Linked DNA regions of Coturnix japonica. The protein of the gene in region 1 purifies or fractionates together with the protein of each later gene. This does not show direct contact. Links are inferred from orthologs where the notes say so. Each region holds a gene or a part of one and is shown on either strand. Other genes may lie near its edges.

Region 1 (5,771 bases):
TGGAGAACCCTCCAGCAAATGTTCTGTCACAAAACAAAATGTATTCACACTCTGAAGTTACACAGGCTTTCAGCAGCACCTGAAAGCACGATGCAGAAGAAGAGTTCTCTCTCCCTCCTTGTCCCCAATCTCCCTATTTATCTTAAAATAAATAAATTCATTTTTAAACAGAGTCTGCTTTTCCTAAAGCTGATGCTTGTTGTCAGGACGCCATAGAGCAATTCTCACCTATTGCATTACGTTCATTTGAGATACAGTGCACTTATATATACACAATAAATCCAGTTTGCATCAAGCTGCCATAAACAGTTTCTATATCTACACATGATGGTGCAAGTTTGTGGTGTCCTAAAGGCACTTGTCTCTCACAGACAGCACTGTCTTATTTAATCAGTTTAAAATAGATCTAAAAATACTTTGTTTAAAGTTTAACATCCGAAATGGTTTTTACTCCATAAAGAGGCACAAATCATCACCTACATTGATTCATTAATTCAACATGAAAGAGCGAAGTGCAAAGTTTCTGTAATTAAATATATTTCTCTGTATTAATTCATTTTAATGCCATGCTCAAAATAAACCCCAAACAAAACAAAACTCAAAACCATGCTATAGTAGAAATGTGATGGGTGCTAGCAGCAACAAACGAAAAGGTAGTGCATAAAGTAGTACAATCGAGCTGATTTACAAAGCTCATTTATAATTAAGCAGGGAGTTACAAAGAGAGACGTATGCCAAAAGCCTCTTCCAAGACATGCCTAAAGCCACACCTGACCAGTATGAAAGATCTACGTGTATCACACAAACGTACATCATTAGGGATGCCTTTATACTACCTAACACTACAAAAATAAATCCAAAATCCTCATCCGCTTCAAAGTGACTTCTGCTCTAATCAAACAGGGGAAGGCGAGTCAAAACCAGATAGAACAGCAGAATTTAAAAAGACCCCTAAGTAGCATTAAAAAAAGTTCATTGCAGTTTTCAGGTTCTAATGGATGGCAGTGTGAAATCCTCAAAACCCAATTCATCTGGCCAGTAAATATCTACAGATTGTCCTCTTTGAGTCCCAGCTTCTTAAAGCAAAGAATATTTGAGAGTTTCCACCAGCAGAAAAGCTGTTCTTGCAAATGACAGTTCACAGGTGCCATACAAAAGTGGCTTCGCCTATGTGAATTTGAAGCTGGCATTGTACTTCTGCCGAGCAGGAAATCTAAAGAGATCTAAGCAAGCAGAAGGTGTGATGGATGGAATAAAACAAGCACAACCCAAAAGCCAGCAAGTTGGTTTTTTTTTGTTTGCATTTAATACTTTTCATCAAAGCAGCACATTAAGAGTATATCCAGACTGCTACGATGCTGCTGGATGGAGCCTTGTGCTTAAACACTAATTTTCACGCCCAGCTTTCTTGAAACAGCTCTGCAGTACTGCACCACAAGGAATTTTCGGCATCTTTGAAACATTTGCGTTCTCTGAATGTTACACCAGGTTATTAAAACACAGACAGATTAAGAAAAAGAAGCCGTTCAATCAACACTTAAGCTGCTCCTTCAGAGAATCTCATTCCATTGCTTATAGCAGTGACCAGAATTGCTGATGGTGTACTGACAGTTGCCATGGCAAGTGGGTGACTGCGTGGGATAGCACACATATAGCCAAGGTAACTTTGTATGCAACCTCCGTGATTTAAGCAAGCATAGAACACTACTTTCACTATGTGCTGCCAGTGTAGCTATCATCCTACATGAAGTGCCGCAGGAAAAAAAATGGTATTTTATGTCAGGCCACGTTTCCTTCAGTACTCCCATTCATCTGTTTTCATGTCCAGGTAGTAAAGGATATTCTGTGCAAGCTTTACTGCTTGCTTTCTGGCAGCCTTACATCGCTCGTCACCTTGTGGGTCGACGGCATCAAGTGCAAGAAGTTGCTTTGTAAGGAGTTCTTCCAATCGCATGTAGTTCTTATCTGTTCTATTTCCATCAAAAGAAATCACCTCCTGCTGAATCTGAGACAAGTTTCCAAGCACAGTCCAAACTGCTTGATGAGACTGATGTTCTGCAGCAGTCTGCTCTGCGTACATTTGCCTTTTTCCAAGTGCTTCCTTTAAATCAATGTATGTTATGAGAGTCTGTACTTCTATCACTGCTCTTCTCCTGGCTTCTCTAATACAAGGGTTTTTTCCCGGACTCACTTCATCTAACTGGGCAATTAATCCCTGCAGTTCTGCTTTGGATCCCAAATACAAATCAGAAGCATTCTCTGTTTTTAAAAGCAAAGAATTAACTTCCTTCATTTTCTTGCGTATTTCTTCTATTTTTAGAATGGACTGATTTTGGGCCAGATCATAAGCATGAGTAGTATTTGCTTCTTCATCCAAGTCCAGGTATTTCTGCAATTTATTGATCTCTTCCACTACTTCCTTTCTGTAATTCCTTATTTCCATGCGACCGCAGACATCCAAAGCATCCAAATCAGCGACGAGGCCTGTGAGGACGCAGGCTAAATGCCTGCAGGTATCATTACTACTCACTCCCATCAGAAGCGCAATAAGGGTTCCTCTGGCTTTGTTCACCTCACACATTACAGAGTTAATTTTGGAGACAGAAGGATGCGCATCATTAGAGAGTGGCAGGGAGAGCTGTCTCTTGGCGCAGCTCTCTATGATCTCCTGCACGGCGCACACTTTAGTCAGGGTGCGATATCTCGCTTTGCGCAAGGAAACCTTCCCTCCGGTCTTCACCTGGGTGAGCCGCAGCACGATGTCCTGGATGCCTTCTTCAAACTCCTCGTTGATGCTGTTGCCTCCTTGGTAGAAAGGCGTGATCTCACGCTCCACCAGCGCCTGTGCCTCCTTGAAGATGGCCTCGATCTCCAGCCTGCGCGGGTGGTTGGCGTTCTGCTCCAGCTCCTTCAGCAGCCGCTCGGTCTCCTGGGCAGCGCGTTTCCTGGCCTGCTGGATGTCCCCTTTGCCCTCAGTGTCCACAGAGTCGATCTCAAACAGCTGTTTGGTGAGGGATCTCTCCAGCTTCTTGTAGTCCCGGTCCGTGGACAACCCGCTGAAGACTGCCACTTGCTGTTCGATCTCTCTCACTTCCTTCTGTATCTCGTGCAACCGTTTGATGGCAGGGTGTTGGTTCCCCATATCCATGCTCTGCTCTCATCCACCTTCAGTCGAACTGCGATGCAGAGCGAAGCGAACACATCGGTTACCCGTGTTTACAACTTTATATTACGGTCTCACCGACCCCTATCAGCGGGCACGCAGCCGCCCCTCCTTCAGCCGGGGTTGAACCCCCCAGCACGGCGCTCCCCTCCCCGCTCACAGCCGCTCCTTCCCACCGCTCCGGAGCCGAAAGCGACGCGTTCCCCGCACTCCCCCCCTCCTTCCCGGCTCACCCTGCAGCCGCCCCCGGGCTGAGGCACGGCGGCCCGGCTCGGCGCTGCGCCACGGCCGAGCGGTAGCGAAGGGCTCGGAGCCCTGAGCCCGGCCCCGCCCCGCAGCGCCGCCCTCGGCTGCGACATCGCCGTAAAGCGCGGCCGGCGGCGGGGATGGCGGCTGTAGGGGTTGTGCGGGCCGTGAGGGCGGGCGGCTGCCGCTATGGATGCCGCTATGGATGCTGCTATGGATGCTTCTCCTCTACTGTGTCCTCCGGCGGCGGGGAGCGGCCGATCGTCCCGCTTGTAACACAGAGGCCGCGGTTCTGTCCCCCCGCCGGCTCCCGCAGGGACTGGATCGGGCCCCCAGACAAGCGCTCTAACCTCCGCCCCGTCATCTTTTACGTGTCGCCTCACGAGACCCCGCTGGAACGGCGGCTGCGGGAGCTGCGGGAGGAGACACAGGAGTGGAACCAGCGCTTCTGGGCCCGGCAGAACACCGCCTTCAGGACGGTCAGTCCGGAACCGCTGGGGGGCGGCATCGGGCCGGGAGGAATGGGGGGGTTTGGCTGCTGGAAGCGGTGCTGCCGCAGGGAAAAAGCAAGGAAAGCTCTGCTGTAGAAGCACCTGATGGAGCTGTGTCTCTGTTCGTTGTAGGGTGGTTGGAGAAAATGGCATTTGGGGTCCATTCTAACTCAGATGGTTCTTTGATGTGCCCTGCTGCACTGGCAGTTGAACCTTTTATCAAGGCTGAAAGCCTGTGATGCTGTGTGTGATTCTGAAAGCAAGGACACGTGCTTTCTTTTGCGATTGCACCTTAAGGTCTGGAGCACTTCTATGAAGGAAAGCTGAAAGAATTGGGCTTGTTTAGGTAGGAGAAGGGTCTGGGGAGACCTCATTGCAGCCTCCCAGTACTTGAAGAGAGGTTATAAACAGGAGTAGGAGTGACTTCTTACACAACCTCGTAGCTTGTCCTATCACTATTGGGTGCCCCATCCCTGGAGGTGTTCAGGGCTGAGTTGGATGGGGCCCTGGGCAGCCTGGTCTGGTGAGGGGCAGTCAGCCCATAGCAGTGGGGTTGGAGCTCGCTGACCTTCCAACCGAAGCTCTTCTATGACCCTATAGGTTAGGAGGAGTGGGAGTGATTCAGTAATTCACTGTTATTTCTGAGCTTTGATCACCATATCCTCCCTGACTTCTGTAGAACTGAGTTTGAGAACTCGACGAAAAGGTAATTGTTCTGTACACATCCAAATAATGACAGATTTGAAGGCCACGTGTTTATCTGAATGCAGAAATGCTCAGTTATGTGGTATGTGTTGTCTTCATTGTTAGTTTGTTTGTTTGTTGTTTGTTTGGGCCTCACTGCTGTCTGAGCAGAGAATTTCTTTCTAACATCTAACCCAAATCTTCCCTCTTTCAGTTTAAAGCTGTTCCTCCTTGTCTTATCACTATCAAATTATGCAAAGAAAAGTCTGTCTCCTTCCCAATTACAAGCTCCTTTCAAGTACTGGAAGGCTGTGGTGAGGTCTTCCTGGAGCCTTCTCTTCTCAGCCTAAACAAACCCAACTCCTGTAGTCTTCCTTCATAGGAGAGGTGCTCCAGCCCTTTGGTTGTCCTCATGGCCATCTTCTGGATCTAAGCAACAGAGCTTTATCGGTTTAACACTAAGTCACTGTGCTTGGGTAAATGTTTTGTTGATGTTTCCAATATTAATGAGTGTTGTTTGTTATTTCAGAGGGTATTAGGCACTGAGCTGTTACATGATTTAAAAACAGTGGTTTACTTCAAGGACCGAATGCCTCAAATTCTAATGTGGAAAAACCATCTTTTAGGAAAAAGAAGAATTTATCTACTCAAGGCTGAAAGCCAAGGGTCTGGAAACGAGAGATGAAACAGGTTAGTGAGATCTTTGTACAATTCAAGATACGTTATGAATTCTGTTTAACTTCAGATTTTGCTAGTTATGTGCTGTGTGTTCTGTCACAAGTGATTGTTCAGAGCATGCACGTGAAAAGTGAGATGTTTTGTTGCAGTGTTTGTCCCCTAATTCCTCCCTGCCCAGCTGGAGGGTATGTGATGAAATCCCGTTCAAGTGATTTAATCATTCTGCAGCCTAAGGAGGAACAGGCTTTCTTCTCTCATGCTTCTTAACCCAGTGAACTAGCTGAGCTGAACATACTAGAGCACTTGCCTTAAGCGGATGCTGTGGTTGGGCAAAAAAATGCATGCTCTTCCATCAGGTCCATGTTAAATTAATACAGCATTTTCTATGAGGTAAGAGGTAAGACAACCCCTGAAGAATAATTATGGTTTGGATTGGACTGGACCTCAAAGATCACTTCATTCCAGCCCCTTGCTGCAGGTAGGGCTGTTGACCAATAAGTCAGATGCTT
Region 2 (5,157 bases), on another chromosome or scaffold:
AAAAATAGTGTTTGATTTTCTTTGACCATCACAAATACTCTCCTAAGACAACTGTCAAATTTGATTGCCTCTACTTAAAGACATTTAAAATGTTGTGTTATTTGATGTAACGTAAGTTGATGGAAGTATTAGAGAAAATCCCTGTGCACTGTGATCAAAAAATTGAACAAGATTCTAAATTCCCAGTAGAAATGTTACAGTATATAGGGATTTGTTATTGGAGAGTTGTGAGTTGTATGTTTGCTCTGTGCTTAATTACCATATTACTTGATAAAGTCGTGGAAAGATATATAAACTCACTCACTCTCTTCAGTGGGTATTGCATAAGATTATTTGAATTTTGACAAGATATACTGGGCTTACTAATATTACATCTTTGCACTTTACAGTGGAAGTATTTTGTTTACAATGCTAGTCTTTTCTAAATAAAATTCAATTGTAGGTACAAGCAATGTTCTGACCAACCCATTTTTCTTATGATATAATCTTTCTCTAGGCATTGTGTGGCAGCTCTATCAATGTGCCAACAATAGAAGGAAGAACCATACCCATGACAGTAAATGAAGTTGTAAAGCCTGGGATGAGAAGAAGAATTATAGGATACGGTTTGCCATTTCCCAAAAATCCTGACCAACGTGGAGACTTAATTATAGAGTTTGAAGTAATTTTTCCAGATAACATTTCTCCAGCATCAAAAGAAGTACTTAGGCGGAATCTTCCAGTTTCATAAAACGAGGACTATGTCAACTGTTTAAGCAGGACACTGGAAATGCAGAAGACTGGCAAGTCTGTGCTTTAAAAGTGCAATGTGTAACAACTAGTGGAATATTTGTTGTTTTTTTTTGTTTTGTTTGTGGGTTGGGTGGGGGGAAATACTGTAATGCTGCATGAGAAGAGTTAAGTACAAGTCATACAGATGACTTCTGCAGTATAATTTACAGGGAAAACCACTCATATTTTATATTAGATCTTCCTAATCAGAAAAGCTTACTCAGTATTTTGCTTAATATGAAGTGTAGTCAGTTTTTACAAAGCCAATGCATATTTCTGATAAAGTACTCAAGCCACTAAGTACTTTATTCCTTATTTCCCTACTCTATCTGTAACAGAAATGGTTTATATAGAAATTGGATGTGGTAGTAGAAATATACACGTGCAAATATTCTAAATTACAAAACAGTAAAGATACTATTTGGCTTTTTGCTTTCCACTGCACGAAGCATAGACTGGGAGAATTGGCTTGGTCTCCTAAATTGCCCCCCACTGAAATGAAAGTATTTTCTTTATTTCATCAGAATGCGAGGGATCTGCATTACAAGTCTAGGAAAGGACATGTAGCTTGAGGAGAAAGTAGACATTTGTTGAGTAGTTCCTCATGCTTCAGACAGTACAGCAAGAAAGGATTGTACATGTACAGCAAGTGTGGGCCCCGGTTGTTAAATGGGGTAGGGAAACTGGGTGGCAAGTAATGTGGAGAAGGCTGAGGTGCTCAGTGCCTTCTTTGCCTCAGTCTTTACCAGTAACACAGTCTTGACCAGGAGTCCCAGCCTCCTGAAACCAGAAGGAAATCCTGAAACAAGGAAGGGGTAACCTCAGTGGTGGTGAACCAACACAGAGGTGCATTTAAACTAGATGTACAAAAGTCCATGACACCTGGCAGGTTGCATGCAGAAGCGCTGAGGAAGCTAATGCCATTGCAAGGCCTCTCAATTATCTTTTGATTTGAGAATGGTTTCTATAGACTGGTAAGAAGCAAATATCACTCCTGTCTTCAAGAAAAGCTAGAGAGAAGATATGAAGAACTACAAGCCAGTCAGCCTTAATGCAGTCCCTGGGAAGATCAGAAAGAATATCTTCCAAAAAAGCATAATCAAGCACATGGAAGACAGTAATGTGATTTAAGGTCAGCATAGATTTACAAAATGGAAATCATGCAAAATGGAATCATGACTTGATTTCACTCTACAGTGAGGTGATTAGCTTGGTGGATAATGGGAAAACAGTCTGTGTTCTTTACCTTGACTTTAGTAGGCAAATTGGAAAAGTACAGGATAGATAGGTGAACAGTGAGATGAATTAAAAAGAGACTGAATGAGTGGGCACAGGGGTTTTGTTATCAGGGTCACAAAGTCTACTTGGAGGTAAGTCACTAGTGGTGTATGCAGACACAGTAATATTCAACATCTTTGTTAAAGACCTGGGGAATGGAATGGAATGCACATTCAGCAAGTTTGCATGTCATGCAGGAATGTGAGGAGTGGCTGATGACACCGTGTTGATTGTGCTGGTCTTAAGAGGGGCTTTGGTGGCCCAAAACAAACAAACAAACAAACAAAAAAATCATACAGAATGAAAAAACAGAGTTCAATGGGCAATGGGTAAAAATCTTGCACCCCGAAGTATTACCCAGGCACCAGTACAGTCTTGGGCTCACTGTCTGGAAGGCAGTTTTGTTGAGAAAGGACTTTGAGTTTCTGGCAGACAACAAACTGACCATGAACTAGCAATGTGTCCTTGCAGCAAAACAGACTAATGGTTTCCTGGGTTGCACTGGGAAGTTTTGTGAGCAGATTGAGGAAGGTGATCCTTTTTCCCTGTTCCTCATGGGTGAGGCTGCATCTGGCATACTGTGTCCTGTTGTGGTCACCCCAGTAGAAGGAAGACAGTGGCTTGATGGAACAAGTCTGTGAAGGACAGAGAACTGGAACTCTTCAGTCTGGAATGCAGAAAGCTCAGAGGAATCTGATGAATGTGTACAAGTACTTGGAAGGAGGGAATGGAAAGAAGGGAGCCAGACTCTTCTTAATAACACCCAATGTCAGGACAAAAAGGACAAAAGGCATGGAGACAACGTAATACACTTTTTTCTTTTAATACTGTGGTCTCCATCCCTGGAGATCCTCAATACTGAACTGGTCACAGCCTGGTCTAGTGACCATACTTGAGGAGATTTGGGTGATCACCAGAGGTTCCTTCCAACCTGAATGATTGTGTACACTCACTTAAGAGCCTCTTTCAATAGACAGTATTAAGGACTGTGTTCTGCAAATTAGGCTTAGCCCAAAAATGGGTGGTGCTGATGTGACAGCTTGAATCCATAGGAAATAGTTGTGTTTTGTTTTTTGTTTTTTTTTTTTTGTGGAAAGATGTATAAAGAACACTGTAGAATTGCATAGTAGAGCAGATATTTAAAGATCATGCTGATCTCAAGTTCAGACTTGGAAAATAATGCAAATTTTTACATTGAAGAAGGAGAATCCCAGGTCCTATCTAAGGAGAAGTCTGCTGAGGACATGATAGAATAGGAATTGCCCACAAACTTCTACGTGCTTGCATCGAGTCTTTTCTGAACACAAATATGACTTACTTATCTTTAGAGTTAAAAGGTGAATAGGGAAAAGGAAAGCCCTCTGTAATAGTCTAGTTTTGTAATATTGTAATAGGGCTGGTTCCCTGGTGAAAGAAATGCCTTGCAGATTTGTTCTTGTTACTTGAGTTTTAAAATATAATAGAGTGCTTTAGCAGCAGTTTCAAAGAATGCTTTTCTTCGTAAGAAGAAAATATATAGGATTTGCTGTTAGCCTTTTGACAGTGGAAACTCGGTAGTTACCTGCTTTGTTAGGTAGCTTAAGAAATAGCAGTATTAACTTCATATAAACGCTTTTCTGTGGGAAAGTAAATAATATGGAAGTTGGGATTCAAGTTACGATAGCTTTTTAATGAGCACAAAAAATTCCATTTTTGTTACTCAAAGAAATAAAACTTCTGGGAGATACTGTTCAAATAATTTTTCAACTGCTGATCTCTTTGTACATTGTCAGTTGTAGTCCTACAACTGCAGTAGATCTACAAGGAACAAAACAATTGCTGGAGCAGTATCACAAAGGGCAAACTTAGCTGCTTAATGTTTATGTGTATTGTTAACACTATATATTGTTTGTTTAAAGAATTCCCAATATGTTCTGTATTGCATTTCTTATGTGGTTTTTAAGTAAAAAGTGTAAAGTTGTTTTTTCATTTTCTCTCATCTTTTGTTATGATGGCAGATGCTGAAATCTATATAACTGAAGAAGTGTATCATTCTAAAATATATGTATGTTACTTTAAAAGTTAATGGCATTGAAATTTTGTAATCCAGGATCTTGTAACAATAGTCTAACCTGCAAAAAAAAGAAAGAAAAAAGAAAAAAAAAATCAGTTGCAGCACATTATCTCTTGTAACTATTTTCAGGTAAGAAGAATAGCGTTCAATTCAGCATTTTGCAGTATCCTGTGCATTTAGAGGCGTATGTACAGCAAACGTCTTTTTTTTTTCTTCCTAATCATTTTCATGCTCAAGATTCAGAAGAACCATAGAACTGGTATGAATTATTAATGGAGAGATAACAAAGCATACATTTCAAAAAATAGCACATGAAATTACTGCAAAAGAGAGAGGACATCAGTCCAGAATTTGCAAGAAAGAAGCACACTTTCAATAGTGAAATATTAAAAGCTATGTTTTAAAAACCACTTGTTTAAGTGAAGGCTGCGTGGGAGACTCAGTCACCTGCTATATCTATTAAAATACATGGAAATACATTGACATTGGTGAATTCGGGAGGACAATGATATTTTTAATCTCCTCAGGATTGGTTAAGTACCATATACAGCAAAAGGCATTTGCGTAGTTCAGAGAAGTTCATTCTTAGACTTTCTGATGTCATGAGAATATTAGCATTCCATTGTTTATTCCAGTATTCCTTGTAAAACTGAAAGCTGTATAAAACCTGTTTGTGCTGTGTTGAGGAAGTGCTGTGGTTTGGGAATGATTTTGAATAATCACCCATTTGATTTGGGAAGTAATATGCTTTGTAGCTGGGGTTGGTTCTCTACTGTTATTTTTACCACCTTCATTTTTAACTTTGTGTGTGCTTATTCCCATTTATTTTTTTATGGAGTGGGATTAGTCTTCATTTGCATGTCCTCTCTTAATATTCACCACCTACTTTAAATATGACCGTCAGTCTGAAAGCTACAAACAATGCTGAAAATGGGCAGTGTGCATTATGGTAATTGGTGAAATGAGGTTAGCAGTGTTTTGAGTCTCAGGTGTGGTAGTTCTGGTTTTTTTTTAGTAGGTGCTCAAAAATCTAGGCACGGGGAGACATCTCCAAG

Evidence for each region. The genes of interacting proteins can lie anywhere in the genome.
Region 2: the proteins of BAG5 (region 1) and DNAJB4 purify together in Homo sapiens (affinity purification with mass spectrometry; 4 studies listed by BioGRID and IntAct, with this or other methods). This does not show direct contact. The link is inferred for Coturnix japonica from reciprocal best matches to the Homo sapiens genes BAG5 and DNAJB4.

The regions. Positions count from the first base shown.
Region 1 is NC_029520.1:45,843,318-45,849,088, forward strand, and holds the start of BAG5 (BAG family molecular chaperone regulator 5), read right to left. Parts: upstream 3,532-5,771; 5' UTR 3,397-3,531; intron 3,177-3,396; 5' UTR 3,149-3,176; coding exon 1,796-3,148; 3' UTR 1-1,795. Other genes in the region: cytochrome c oxidase assembly factor 8, read left to right, coding at 3,550-3,888, 5,211-5,274. UniProt on the Homo sapiens protein: Co-chaperone for HSP/HSP70 proteins. It functions as a nucleotide-exchange factor promoting the release of ADP from HSP70, thereby activating HSP70-mediated protein refolding.
Region 2 is NC_029523.1:16,607,690-16,612,846, reverse strand, and holds the end of DNAJB4 (dnaJ homolog subfamily B member 4), read left to right. Parts: intron 1-496; coding exon 497-730; 3' UTR 731-4,017; downstream 4,018-5,157. UniProt on the Homo sapiens protein: Probable chaperone. Stimulates ATP hydrolysis and the folding of unfolded proteins mediated by HSPA1A/B (in vitro).